Nothobranchius furzeri: one gene and its partner. The protein of the gene in region 2 binds, or shares a complex with, the protein of the main gene of each other region. Links are inferred from orthologs where the notes say so. Each region holds a gene or a part of one and is shown on either strand. Other genes may lie near its edges.

Evidence for each region. The genes of interacting proteins can lie anywhere in the genome.
Region 1: fnip1 (region 2) and lamtor3 share a complex: the UniProt entries of both Homo sapiens proteins name them as parts of the lysosomal folliculin complex. The link is inferred for Nothobranchius furzeri from reciprocal best matches to the Homo sapiens genes FNIP1 and LAMTOR3.

The regions. Positions count from the first base shown.
Region 1 is NC_091758.1:44,826,579-44,833,833, forward strand, and holds lamtor3 (ragulator complex protein LAMTOR3), read right to left. Parts: upstream 3,541-7,255; 5' UTR 3,424-3,540; intron 3,245-3,423; 5' UTR 3,222-3,244; coding exon 3,213-3,221; intron 2,843-3,212; coding exon 2,808-2,842; intron 2,735-2,807; coding exon 2,676-2,734; intron 2,602-2,675; coding exon 2,468-2,601; intron 2,374-2,467; coding exon 2,310-2,373; intron 2,242-2,309; coding exon 2,168-2,241; 3' UTR 2,003-2,167; downstream 1-2,002. Other genes in the region: dapp1 (dual adapter for phosphotyrosine and 3-phosphotyrosine and 3-phosphoinositide), read left to right, coding at 92-179, 1,562-1,585. UniProt on the Homo sapiens protein: As part of the Ragulator complex it is involved in amino acid sensing and activation of mTORC1, a signaling complex promoting cell growth in response to growth factors, energy levels, and amino acids.
Region 2 is NC_091750.1:58,905,624-58,913,011, forward strand, and holds part of fnip1 (folliculin-interacting protein 1), read left to right. Parts: intron 1-882; exon of another isoform or gene 883-998; coding exon of another isoform or gene 999-1,009; intron 1,010-3,900; coding exon 3,901-4,030; intron 4,031-5,906; coding exon 5,907-6,044; intron 6,045-6,151; coding exon 6,152-6,252; intron 6,253-7,388. UniProt on the Homo sapiens protein: Binding partner of the GTPase-activating protein FLCN: involved in the cellular response to amino acid availability by regulating the non-canonical mTORC1 signaling cascade controlling the MiT/TFE factors TFEB and TFE3.

The DNA.
Region 1 (7,255 bases), on a different chromosome or scaffold from region 2:
AATGTCGATGGAAAACAGGAAAATGATGCTTCCCTGACTGGTTAAGAGTCGGAGCGTCTGACCTCTGTTCTGTTAACTCTTCTCTGTCCAGTTTGGTGTTTCCTGAGCGAACCTTTTATCTGTGTGCTAAGACAGCGGTGGAGGCCGACGAGTGGATCAAGATCCTCCAGTGGAAACTGGTGAGTGGAAAACCAGCTTCAGATGCCCAAACATCTGTCAGGTAAACATCTGCCAGACACACACCTGTCAGGTAAACATCTGCCAGACACACATCTGTCAGGTAAACATCTGCCCAGTAAACATCTGCCAGACACACATCTGTCAGGTAAACATCTGTCAGGCACACACCTGTCAGGTAAACATCTGTCAGGTAAACATCTTTCAGGTAAACATCTGTCAGACACACATCTGTCAGACGTCTGTAAGTCAAACTAAAAAAACACTTCCTGTCTCACTTCCTCTTTGCTAAAATCCACTAGATTTCTTCATCTGCTGATTGTGTCTCAGCCCGAGTCTTTAGGGCGGGGTCACTAACGTGGTGACCCTGCGGGCACCAAGGTGCTCTTGGGGTCACCACGAGTGCCCCCCGCAGGCCAGTCTAAAAATGGCACAAGTCACCACTAACCCTGATTTTTCCTTTTTTTAACTGTGTTGCTGTTTTGAGTTAAAGCTGCATCGATGCTTATTTGAAAGTGAAAATATTACTTAATCATTCCTGAGAACAAAACTATTTGGTGTTTTTGTGTGTTAGCGTACGTAAATGTGGCAGCGGTGCAGCTTGAGGGGCTGCGAGTAGGGTGACCAGATGGCTCACTTAGGGGACTTCTGGTTATTTGGTTTGGAGAAAGGTTTCCTGGTTTAAAACTTTGACTAAAGTAGCGCTCGTCATTCATCAGCTCCTGCTTCGAGTGCGTCGGGGAGCGTGGATCCACCCAGAACATTTACACATCCAGGAGCCTGAGACAGTCCAGAAGCTCATAACCTCTTCAGCAAGCTCCCTGGAGACATCTGACCATTCACAAGCTGCAGATGAGCAGCTGGGGTCACGCGGCGTTCGGGCCGCAGCAGTGAAAGGTTCCTACTCCAAGTGAAAACGTAGTTTATGTCCCTGGGGCACTCTGAGCCGCTTGTTTGGACTGAATATGAATAAAAATGAGTTAGGGGTTCTCTTCCAGCAAACATGCGCTGCGCTTGTATAAAAAATCTATTTTTGGGCTTCTTCTGTGTTCGCTAATCAGTCCGTGCATCGCTTTGGTGGGAAAAATGATCCAGATCACCCAACCCTAGTCTGAACTGGATCAGGAGGCCTGCGGCTGCATGTAAGTGAGGGAGCTGGTGGCCTGAGGTCATGACCTCTACAGGAAGTCAGGTGGACATGATCTCAGTCTTGGAGAAAGTAGGTTAGATGAAGATGCACGTCTCTGGATGTGAGTCCAGCTGATCCATTTCCCTCATGTTTCAATTAACCGACGAGTCCAAGGAGCCTTGAAGCTCAGAGGACTTGATACTTCTGAATGTATTTACAGTTTCAACCATTAATCCACCAACTATGTGTTTCCAGTCTCAGGTAAGAAGAGGCCGATGACACTCGTCTGCAGCTTCCTCCTCCAGGTTGTCGTGGAAACGGTGAATGAGAACCATCCGGAACAGGACTCATATTTTAAATGAATTCTGTTCATTCTGAAGATCTTTATGGGTCCATCAGAAGATCAACTGCTTCACCAGTTAGCTGGAAGCTCAGACATGTCAGGGTTCTGATGCTCGCCATGCTGTATGCCAGCAGCAAAGCATTGTGGGTAGAACTGACATGTGAGTGGCTTATTTATATCTCCACATGAGAATGTGAGTTTCCAGAAGCAGGAGAACCAGTTTTATTGTGGAAACACTTTGTTCATGACTGATGAATGTTTAAATTAAAGCCTCTGAAACCATCTGGACTCCGTCTGCTCTGAGGTTCTTATCTGTATTCTTTAGGTTTAACTCTAAATGAACCACTCTGGTGCCCAGAACCCACACATTTATTCAGACTAAAAGCACAGATGGAAACATTTACAGCAACGTGAATGAATCTGGTCCACACTGAACAAGCTGCAGGCAGAATTTCCTACAGAACCCAAACACATCGTGAGGATGGTGGTGAGCAGCAAGTCTTCTGGTGAGTCGGAGACTATGTCACCTCCACCACCTGCCTCAGATCCTCTATTAGAGGAGTCAACTCCTTCTCCAGACTCATGATCAGACCTGAGAACACAGAACAGAACACTGAACCAGACTGAACATCTGTTTGTCTCCATAGAGACAGATGTTACCTGTGTTGGCACCGCTGCTGGCGATCAGGCTGATAACCAGGGGGAGGCGATTGAACTGCACAATCTGATTAAGAAACACGCATCACCATGGAGACTTATGTAAAGGCATGAACATTAATGCATCCCTGTGCCGACGCTCAGAGGAGCTGCTGTGTGACCTGGTAGGAGTTGTAGTAGCAGATGATGCTCTTGTTCTTGGACAGGCCGAGTTTGCTGCCCTGATCTGTGGCCAGAGCGAAGGTGGACAAGAAACCGGGTCTCAGCGCTTGGACGGGGGCGTTGTCATTGGCAACTGTAAAAATGAGAAATGAGGACATGGCCCCCTTACCCGGGCAGGTGAGGAGGACTTTAGCACTGGCTCCTTACCTTTCACAACTGGAACACCGTCTCGGTCCGTCACTACGATGGCATGAAGACCTTCAACACTGGGAGAGTTTAAATGGATCAGTAACAACTACATACGGGTGAAACACTGAGCGTTCCCATGGAAACACCAACCTTTGGAGCTGTTTGTACAGGAATCTCTTCAAATCCTGCAGAGAAACCCACAAAAACTGGATTAAACATTTTATTATAAAAGTAAGACAACAAACCACTCCATCAGTGCTGTGTGAACAAAATGACAACTGGACGCAAAATAATAAAAAGACTGCTGCTTTAAATGTCTGGTTGCTGGTTTAATTCCTATTTCAGCGTCTCAAGACAAAACAAATCAATCTCAGACTCGTGACTCATTTAACTGATTAAAACAGCTTCTAGAGAAATCTGCTTTAAGCTGCATCTGATCAGACCTTAGAAAACACCAAAATGAACCGTCTCCGTTTGCAACATAAACACACCTAGCTTACTTTGTTTAAAAAACTGTAAAAGTTCTTTAAAATTGAGAAAACTGGTCATACTCACGTCTGCCATGACGGTCTGATCTAGTTAAGTCTCTGTGGGCAGAAAACGAATGTTAACAAATAAAACCTCCCACAAAAACCACTAACTCAAAGTCTACACTCAAGTTTAAATAAAACAAGCTAGCATGTCAGCTAATCAACAGAGATGCTGCTTCCGGTACAAACGGCCCGCTAAACAAAACACACATAAGCTATAAAAAATGCACAAATACCGTCTTCAGATGACTTTAAACACCGCTGAGACGCTCTACATGCTAAACAAGAGCTACCAGCTACCAGCTAAGTCACATGACATACGGGGCTTATTTCCGGTTTGTGCGGAAGTGTTTACGGAAGTCTGTGCTGCGTGGTTTTAGCCACGAGAGGGCAGTATTACCCTGCTTTACAACAGGACAAATGTCAAGATACGTTTAGATATTTTTACAACCTGTTCGAAAGTCTGACGTTTTTATATGACGTGATTTTTTTTACCGTTTCATCACTAATAGTATGACTGTTTAGCATATTGTTATGATTGTACGGTTTTTAAATATTTGATCACTCATCACAAGGATCATACAATCTCCCTTTTTTTTTTCGTGACACACACACACACACACACACACACACACACACACACACACACACACACACACACACACACTAGGGATTTTTGTAATAAGTGCGTGTAACAGCATCAAACTACGGTACGTGTGATGAGAATGTTAAAAAACAACAAACTATAACTGGCATGATTTTTCTGCATGTTTCCATGACACACACCTTTCTCTCTTTACTTCGCAGGCAGTGCATCTGGTTTCACCTGAACACAGTACAGCTGACTATCAGGTCATGTTAGGAACGTCTGCGCCGCCTCTGAGCGGTCCCTGTTGGACCGTCTCGATGACAGAAACTGGATGGCAATACATTTCCTCAGGCGCAATGATGACAAGGTCACGCTGTTAGGGACAAATGGCCCTGGGAAAGTTCCTGATGGCGACCTGTCCTCCCTGGCACCCTTTAGGAGGTCTCTCATTACCAACCTGGGAGTTGAGATAGACCCCCTCATGAACTTAGATAGCCAGACAACAGCAGTTGTAAGATCATGCTTTTATCAGCTCAGGCGTTAAAGAAGGATCGAGTGGTACGATGCTGCAATCTTGCACTCAAGCATTCCCTCCCTCGTGAACAAGACCCTGAGATACTTAAACTCCTCCACTTGGGGCAGGACCTCATCCCTGACCCGGAGAAGGCATTCTACCCTTTTCCGACTCAAGACCATGGTCTCAGATTTAGAGGAACTGATGCTCATTCCAGCTGCTTCACACTCGGCTGTGAACCGCTCCAGTGAGAGCCGGAGATCATGTTCTGATGAAGCCAACGGGACCACATCATCTGCATAAAGCAGAGACTCAATCCTTGGTGCTGCATCTGCAGTGATGCGGGCGTTGTACCGGTCTGTCGTGGTGAAGAGAGAGCCGAGCCGGAAGGCGAAGGTCTCAGTTTACCGGTCGATCTACGTTCCTACCCTCAATCCTTAGAGATAGGGTGAGAAACTCGGTCATCCGGGAGGGGCTCGGAGTAGACCTGCTGCTCCTCCACATCAAGAGGAGCCAGTTGAGGTGGCTCGGGCATCTGGTCAGGATGCCTCCTGGACGCCTCCCTGGTGAGGTTTTCTGGGCACGTCCAACCGGGAGGTGACCTAAAGGTAGACCCAGGACACGCTGGAGGGACTATGTCTCTCACCTGGCCAGGGAACGCCTTGGGATTCCCCGGAAGAGCTGGCCCAAGTGGCTGGGGAGAGGGAAGTCTGGGTGTCCCGGCTTAGGCTACTGCCTCCGTGACCTGACTCCGGATAAGCGGCTGAAAATGGATGGATGGATGTTTTTAAAATAAAATTGATGACACTTATAGTGTTAAGTTTATTTTTATATTTTCACAACACAAACGCACGAGGTTTGATCATTTTCCTCACACATATTAATAGTTAAATGAATCATTTCCACGGCACATATTATCATGTTTTAGTCACAGTCGTGGTGCCCTTGGGCAAGGCACTCCTTACCTGCAGTGGTTGGAGGGACCGGTGGTGCAGGTGAGCCCCAGAGCAGCGGGGAGAGGGGAGAATGACTGGTAGGCAGGAAGGTGCCCCTGATCTCCACCAGCAAGCTGGTGATGTCCAACATGGCGGTGCAGGTATCGCCCCTCTGGAGGCAGGCGTTGCACATTAGCACCTACCTACCCTGCTACCCCACATACGTAGTTCATGAGTGTTTTTCATCAGAAGAACCCCTGAAGGACGTAGTTGTTCGTCCTTTCATCAGAACCTATTTTGAGCCTGAGAGGGTTAAACTGTTGCCTCGCAGCAAAAAGGTTGCAGGCTCAAAACCCAACTGCAGTCTTTCTGTGAAGCTGCAAGTTCTCCACATGCAAGCGTGGGGTTCCTCCGGGTTCCCCCCACAGATGACCCTACAGGTTAACAAGTTGCTCTGGATGAAAGCGTCTGCCACATGAATAAACATAACAACGTTTAGCGTTTCTAAAAAATCCACTTTGGAATTGGAATAAAAATCTTTCCTGAGACCGTATCAGTTTTTCCTCTACGGGCATCAGGAGAAACTCTGATTTCCACGTCACCTTCGCTGCCACCTGCTGTGTCAGGCAGCAGCGAGCTGCAGCAGGTCGTTGAGAGGTTTCCGTGTGAAGGACACTTCGACCAGACATGAAACCAAATAAATCGGATTCACTCAGAATAAACAGCCAGACGCGTGGCGCTGACTTCCTGTCTGCTTGTCTCTGTTTCTGTGGCTGTTTGCTGTCTGTCTGCATTTCCAGACAGATCAATACTTGCTCACGGGCCCCGCCGACGCACACACGGAACGTTTTACTCTCTTTGCTTTCCAGTGATTCCACGGGAACAAAATGTTCCACAAACCTTTCCATTGGGTCTGCTGACCGGTTCTGTTGCTGACCGGTTCTGTTGCTGACCGGTTCTGTTGCTGACTGGGTTTAGCGTAGGACGAGTGGTGGTTGTGCACCGGGCCTCGTTGGGGCTTCACTCTTGTGTTTATGGTCTGGAAAAGGGAACATGCTGCGGTTCTAAAGTCCATCAGATGTTTGGGAGAACCGGTCGTGACCAGACCCAGCTGCAGCAGTAGCCTACCTTTAACCCTGAGCAGGACCTGGAGGCAGGAACAACGTACCCGGCTGTCAGACAACAAATAAAGTTATTTTTCTGCTGAATTCAACCTTCTCATCTCTGAAATGATGACGATACATCAAACTGCTTTAGGACACTCAGACACATTCACACACTGCTAGTGATGGTAAGCTACAGCGTAGCCACAGCCGCCCTGGGGAGGTCTGACAGAGGCGAGGCTGCCGTTTGGCGCCGTCGGCCCCTCTGACCACCACCAACACAGGCAAGTTGGGTGAAGTGTCTTGCCCAAGGACACAACAGCAGGATACCCCTGGCGGGAGCTGGAATCAAACCCATGACCCTCTGATCATGAGGCAACCCGCTCTACCTCCTGAGCTACTGCTGCTTAATCCTAACCCTAATCCAAGCTAGATTATAAAGGAGGAATGTGGCCAGCTCTCCCGCTTCGTGGCTGGGTTGGTTTCCTTCACCGAGCCAACGCGAGGCTGAGCGTGCTCGTCTTCCTGTACGTGCTGCAGAAGGTCAGGGTCACACAGCGATGGACCCTGAACGCCTCGCCACACGACCCCCGTTCCTCACGACCCCCGATCCCGCGCTGAGACACGATGGAAACCTCTTCTTTTGGATTTGAGTTCTGCCTCTCTCACTAGCAGCTCCAGATTAGACACACTGCATGAAATCCTAATCTGTTCATATTGCTGTAAATGATCCGGATTAGTGAAGCTCCTTGATTCAAGCAGTGGGAATGTTGGGACTTTACTTTGGTGTTCCAGTATGATTCCAAGGAATTAAAACAAACAGAAAAATGATTCCTAAAGAAATGTTCGTCCCTCTGACTCAGATGAGCTAAAGTTGTTTGTTTCCTCCGGCTCTTGTTTGTTTTAGGAACGTTTGTAAAGTCGGGT
Region 2 (7,388 bases):
GTCGCATAGCTGTCTTGGTGACAGAGCGTGCCAGGGTCTGTGTTTGTGATTGGTTGGGATGACTCTAGTTGGAAGTTATCAGATAAAGAAAAGAAACTTTTTATTGAAGTTTGTATTGACCCTTTTTTATTGCATTCACTCACACACACACACACACACACACACACACACACACACACACACACACACACACACACACACACACACACACACACACACACACACACACACACACACACACACACACACACACACACACACACACACACACACACGCATGCATGCACAGATGTTCCAGTTGCATTTGAGAGGCAGAGGGGTCTTTGAGGTCAGATAGGGTGATGTCAGACTCACAACAGTCTAGGAAACTAGATTGCTCTGATACAACAAAGAAGGTCCATTGTTTACATTGTAGCAGTGCTGCCGATACAAAAGTACCATCAGTTCAAATTTTCAAAGTCAAGAGAAAAAAAATGAAGTAATAAGGAACAGAACTGGCATTAATTTGTCATTTTGTTACAACATGAACATTATTATGTTTTGCACCAGTTAAAATGTGAAGCATTGCACATAGTTTTGTCTACTTTTATTGAGCCTTTTGAAGATATTTTTTTGTTGTTAAATGGAAAAAATATCAAAAGCAGTTATTAAAATTTTTTTTATGAATTGTTAGGTTATTTTACATTTACTGATGCCAAAAGATGGAAAGAAAGTGATGAGAGAACTGAAGCTAGAGAGGAACAAAAAGAGTGGGATTAAGAAATGACACACAAACAAATCCCCTCCAGCTCTCTCTTATCTGGCTGTCAGCAGTCCAGACTCACTGCTGCTGCTGCTGCTGCCTCTGTACTGTCCAGCACACACACAGTGTTGCTGTGATCACCTGATAGTCTCATGTTGTTGTGTGAATTTAGTTCACCACTATTCTTAGACCCTGCTGTGGCTGGCAGAGGAGAAGGAGAGTGGGAAAGGGCTGGGGAAAGACCCGCACACACACAATGATGCTCAGGTAGGAGTTGGTGACATTTACCCTGGCTTGTGTGCATCTGAGTTGTCATGGTGATGTTGGGGAGTGTTTGAGGGCATGCTTTGTTTTCTTAGATTCACTTTGTTTTAGCCCGAGTGTTGACCGCCTCGGTCTTTTTAACCATTTGGAAAAGAGAAAGTAGGAGTTTAGTTTGTCAGCAACAGAGTGATGGACAAAGTTAATTCTGTCGGTTGTGATTGTGTGGCTTATGAGGATTTTAAGGAAGCATTGTTTTAGGTTTTAGCACATTGTTTGGGTGGAATTGAGAGCAATGATTCTGCACTTTAAATACCATCCAGGTTATGTTTGATGTCCAGTTGGAAGGTGGTGGATAAATAAAAGAAATCACAGTCCTGATTGGATTTTATTTAATTTTACTTTTATGATGTAAAATTTGAAAGGATTAGTTTTGTTTGTGTTTTAAGCAACAGTTTGTTCCAGGAAACCAATACCTCATGACTTTGAGTCACTATCGGTTATTGAAGTCAGACTAGTACGGGTTTTTAGCAGTCACAAAGTAAAGCACTGCTTTTATGAATGACCCTCTTCTGTTTATCAATGCTGTGACTGTCACAAGCTCACTAATACATCCACCATTTTCTATCACACTTGTTTTTCTTTCACATTTTGTTTTCTTTATAGAACTTTGCTTTTTCTTACCTTTTCAGAGCATCTGTGCTTAATTCTGCATTTCCCCCAATTTTCTTGTAATGTCATCTAAAAAAAATCAAACATTTTTTTTTTTAGATTTTGTCTCGTGGGTTTTCCGTCATCCTTAATCTTCTCATTTAGCATTTTTTATAGATGTGCTTGAAACGAAAGCAGCACCAAAGTTTACACAGTTCTTTGGTTTCATAGGGAAACAGGCGTAGGTGGTTGTGGCTTAGTTATAAATAGGTTCCTTTTAATTATGAGCAGTGTTGGAATTCGTTTATTGTTTAAAACTTTTTTTTATGATGTTGAAAGTTTAAGGTTTTGGTAAGATGGCCTGATCCATGACGTGTGTGCTCATACAACAAACAGTGGCTACACACAATGCAACAGGCACCTAATTCATGAATAAATCACCCATGAGACGCTGTAGTCCAACTGCAAGGATGCATGTGACAGACTTAAACAACAGTCTGTGCAGTCTTGCACCCAAATCAACAAGATTGATATCGGCTCAGCTCCATATAATGCAATTTGAGCCCATTACGTAAGCCAGAGAGGCGTTACGTCACACGTGAAGTACTCCGACTGGGTAAGAGGTCTTCCCTCGGATACGAGCCAAGAAAACCAAGGGTGGGTTTGGGTTGTGGAAGACGGTCAAACATTAACTTCCAATAACCACATTCCAGAGAAAACCCCAGACATCAATATGGGAACAACACATGACACAAGAGGAACTATTTAACGGAAAGTTTATCGGTTATACTGCAGAGAAAATGTCAACATCTTGAATTTGCAACAAAGGGAAGGAAAGAGCTGAAACGTCCAAAACTGCTCCGTAACCCTAACCCACGGAAAAGCTGCGTGGCCAGTCCACCACTTAGCTGATTTTAAACTTGAATTTTCCAAATGTTGTGGTTTATTTGGGGTAGATGAACAACAACCATTGGAGCCTCGGGGACAGATGGGTGCCTTGTTTCTAGAGACATAAGATAAACGTGTGTCTGAGAAAGGCAGAGAAGTCATTCTGCTGTATTCACAACAAATACAGAGTGAAAATGTGTAATCTTAATGTTGGGCTGTGGTCGAATACGGTCCCGTTATTCTTTATTTATTTATTTATTTTTACGCAAAAAAGCAAATAATCAGTTTAATTAAAATGTTTCTTGCGTGGGATTTTAATGTTAAAGGAGACGTAACGTGGAAATTAGTCCAGTTTGCTGCAAATGACTCATGTTCTTTTGCTGGTTTCCTTCCTAAATCATTTCACCTGCAAGAACGCGTGATATTTTGACAACGATGTTTGGTCCATGCATAGAGCGGATGCACATGAACCACCTCTTGTGAAAACAAACTACCATTGGCAGGAATTTCATGTCTTGTCTGCGCTCGTTGGCCAACAATTGGAGTGATGCTGTAGATTGTGGGTATTTTGCTGATGAGCCAAACAGACTTAAGTGTTCCCATTCCACCTCTCCCCTCACATTGACTCTGAGCAGTTCTGTTAAGACTCACACTCTGTTCCCAATACTAAAACTATATTTAGTGCCCATCATGCGTCCATCTGCCTGACCCATCCATCTTTTTGTTCAGATGTAAACCCTTGACCATCATCAAGTTTGTCCAATCACCAGTCAGCTTTATAGCCCCTAATAAATCACCCAGATGACTGAGTTCCTCAAAAAAGAAAAGTCATGTGTAGTTAATAAGGGGCCATGTATCCACAGTAAGTAACTTTTTACAGTACACGTTTCTATGGGTACAGAGTATGTACAGTCTATGGTACAGAGCTAACTGTATTAAAGTTTTTGTTTCTGTCATCTGACCATTGAAAGCAACCTCATGACCATTAGTCACTCTTTGGGTTTGGCGGTGAATAATCCTTTCAACACTTGAGAAAGTTTTATTGGTGACTCAACTCCACTCGATTTCCGCGTTGACTATCTCTGAGGAGGTGGCTTTTATAGCGCTTTGTGCCTCTCTACTGGCTGGGGAATGAGATGGATGAATGGCAGCTGTGGCATGAATCTGCAGCCTCTGCCATGCCCAGTCCAGCTGTAACCGTGTTTCTCACTAGCTTGCAAGTTCATCCAGTTTACATGTCCCCACATGCTTGGCATGTGTAATGATTCTCAGTGGTCCTGATTGCATTTTCCTGTTTTTATCCACTTAACTTCCATCTTGATTTTTTTTCTCTTGTGTCCACCATTCCTCCCCTTTAGCTGGCCACTTCCCCAGCTGGAGCCCAGTCAGATTAGACTGATAGTGTACCAGGACTGTGAGAGGCGTGGCAGAAATGTCCTCTTCGACTCCAATGCCAAGAAAAAGGGCACGGAGGAAACCCCCATCACCGTGAGTCACATGTTTACTTGGCGTTTGTGTATTTTTGGTCCTCTAAAAGCCCTTGCATGATTGCTTTGATTAACCTATGGTCTCTCTTATACACTCTGTAGTACATGTCAACCAGACCGTGTGCATGTGACTGACGATAACCCTTATTTGCTATCAGGATACATGCAAAAACATAAAAAAAGCTTTTTAAAATGTCACTTTTTATCACATCTCTTCATCAGTGCCTTCATTTGATTTTCCCTGCAAATGAGGACACACTGTCACCATCGCTGGCCTTTTTAAAATCTGCACAACTTGTTTAACATGTAAGCCAGCGGCATGTTGCCAGCTAACCTCGACCGGTTTGTTCTGGTGCTCTTATCTCCAGTAATAATAGCCTCAGCTGACCGCCCGTGTGTAAGCAGCATTCTTTCATCCTCACATGATGGGCGTGTCACTCACTCACCGTCGTTATTATTCATCTCTCTCTTTTCCTCGATGATCCTAATCTCTCTCTGTTCTGGTGTCATTTCAAAATGTGACCTTTTAAATTTTTATTTTATCATGGTACTTGATTGTGTAGATTTCTGTTTCTTGGTCTTTTTTCCTTCACTGCCCATTTAAATTTCTACGTACTTTTGTTCTTTTCTTTGCTTCTCGAGCTTCTCGTTTAACTTCTGCCTCCCCGGCATTGAAATTGGAATACTTGCTTAAAAATTTCACCTGATTTTCTTTAAACTACTGAAGCGTCACATGTAAATAACACTGTCGTCACATGTAGTTTCACATTTTGTTTAAAGGAAACACTTAAAAAAAAAGGAAAATCTGTGCATTAAAGCCTTAATTATACGTGTTACACGATAGGCTGTTCATTATTTTGATGCATCTGCAGTGCTAGTGGTTTGCCAGCTGCTTTGTGAGTTTTATCACATGACTGTTTTTGTCAGCTCATTGGAATGAATTTTAGATCAACGGCTTGAACGTTCAAAGCACGTAGAGAAAATGAGGGATCAAGCTACAGATGATTATTAAACAAGGGTCAGAATGGATCAGAAATGAAGATGTCCAGGTGGTGAAGTTTGGGGGAAAATATAATGTCAGGAAAGGGTTGGAGAATAAAAGTAAAGGTGAATAAGTGGAGAAAAGAGACGTCTTATAGGAATTAGAGAGGGGTGTGGAGTTTAGAGGCAGAGGAGAGGGAGATAAGCAGGGAGTGATTGCAGCGCTGCTCAGTCACGAGTTCTCCAGGAGTCATATGACTTGCTGTCACATGCTGCTGGACTCTGTGTATATTCCTCACACTGCACTGCAGCAAACACACACACCCATGCTCAAACTCGGCGCCATAAACTCGTCCGTCTGCACAAACAGAAAAACGTGCACACATTTTTTTAATCAGGTGGTGATTGCATCTTTAGAGGATGAAGCAACAATTCTCTTCCTTTTGTCTCCCCTCATTCTGGTTGCTACAGTGGTTTCAGCTGAGCTGAAAACACACGCGCACGCACGCACGCACGCACGCACGCACACACACACACACACACACACACACACACCCTCCCCAATGCATTCCTCCTGAATAGGCTGCCAAGTAAAGAAGGCACATGACTCTGGCTGATTGAGCTCACATTGCTGTCAGTTAGCTGTTTACCCAAGTGCCTCTGGATTAGGTTTCTGTGTTTTATGACCCACACAGTTTGACTTCATGTCATTTTCCCCATGACAAATGAAGCTGTCAATATATGCTCACTTTGGAGCAGTAAATGTATTTATGGAACGTTTTTGAAAACTAATATGCACTATATATATGTTTTATTTTTAAAGTAATTTTAGTGCATATTTCAGAGTCAAATGAGCTTTTAGGTTATCTGAAATAATCTTTGTCTGTGACTTGAAGAGCGCTGATACCCAGGTGAAGATGTTTGGGAAATGCTGCCACCTCCGTCCGACACGAGGCAGCAGCAGTTCCCTGGACAGCTCCTCGTCGTGTGCCTCTGATGCCAGAGAATCCAAGGATCAGGGCCTCCGCTTCCAGGTAAAGCAACACCCTGCAGTAACAACACGCGTCCAAAAGCTGCAAGTGGATAGTCTAAACTTGACCTTTTTCAGGTTAATGCAATAAAACATTGTTTTCTTCCTCAGGGTTCAAGGTGTTCCTCTGATGTAGTAATGCTGGGGGAGATGATGTTTGGCTCCGTAGCCATGAGCTATAAAGGGTCCACTCTCAAAATCCACCAGATCAGGTAAATAAGCAATAAACCAGTGACTAATTGTCTTTTTTTACTTTAAAAATATTCATAACGTTGGAAATTTGGAAAAATCAGTTTCATGTGACTAAGGGAACAAACATCTGTGTTTATATCTAAGTCTTGTTAGGATTTCTGTGACTGAACAATAGGGGTGTGTGTTGGCACGAATCTGGCGATGAGATATGAATTGCGACTCGATATCACAACACCAAAAGCCAGATGGTTTTTGTGATTTCAAGACTGAATTTGATTCGAAAACTTTGTTCAGAGGCTTCTAAAGCCGTTTTTACATAACAATGCCATCAATTTCCACCAGGGTTAGGGTTAGGTTGTATATGAGTGATCAGACAGACAGTTACTGCAATATTACTACCAAGCGAGGCACAACAACTTGATTTATCAGCACCGTGTCTTCAGAAAGGGCTTAAGACGCAGAATAAAGGCGGTAAAGCACCACACCAAAGGAATGCAGTAAATGTTTACATGTAAAGTCTCAATAACAAAAATACTACAGGGTATCCGCGGGTCCTTAAAAAGTCTTAAAAAGTCTTAAATTTACTTTTCCAAATTTAAGGCCTTGAAAATCCTTAAAAATGACAAATAATCCTTAAATACAGTTTCCAAAGGTCTTAAATTACCAAAGACCCAATAAACTAGATTATTTTATTTCTGACATTTTCGTGAATTTCAGCATTTTTTGTGTACGATGTTGGCGTAAGCGGAACCATACACATTCAGTTGGTTGTGAAAGGGGACTATTTTTAGATGAGCACGTTAGCTGGTTAAGCTAGTGGGAGCTTGCGCCATGGAGAAGTGCAAGTTTAATGGTAACTGGATGGCTAATCCCACGTTCGCGACGTGGTTAGCACCGGTTCCAGGCAATAGCTGTAAATTATAGCTTAAAATTAATTAAAAAAATTGCTTAAATTTGGATCTGGATCAAAAGGAGTCAGTTGAGGTGGTTTGGGCATCTTGTCAGGATGCCTCCTGGACGCCTCCCTGGGGAGGCGTTTCGGGCATGTCCTGCCGGCAGGAGGCCGCCGGGTCGACCCAGGACACGTTGGAGAGGTTACATCTCCAATCTGGTCCGGGAACGCCTTGGGGTCCTGCCGGAGGAGCTGGTGGAGTTG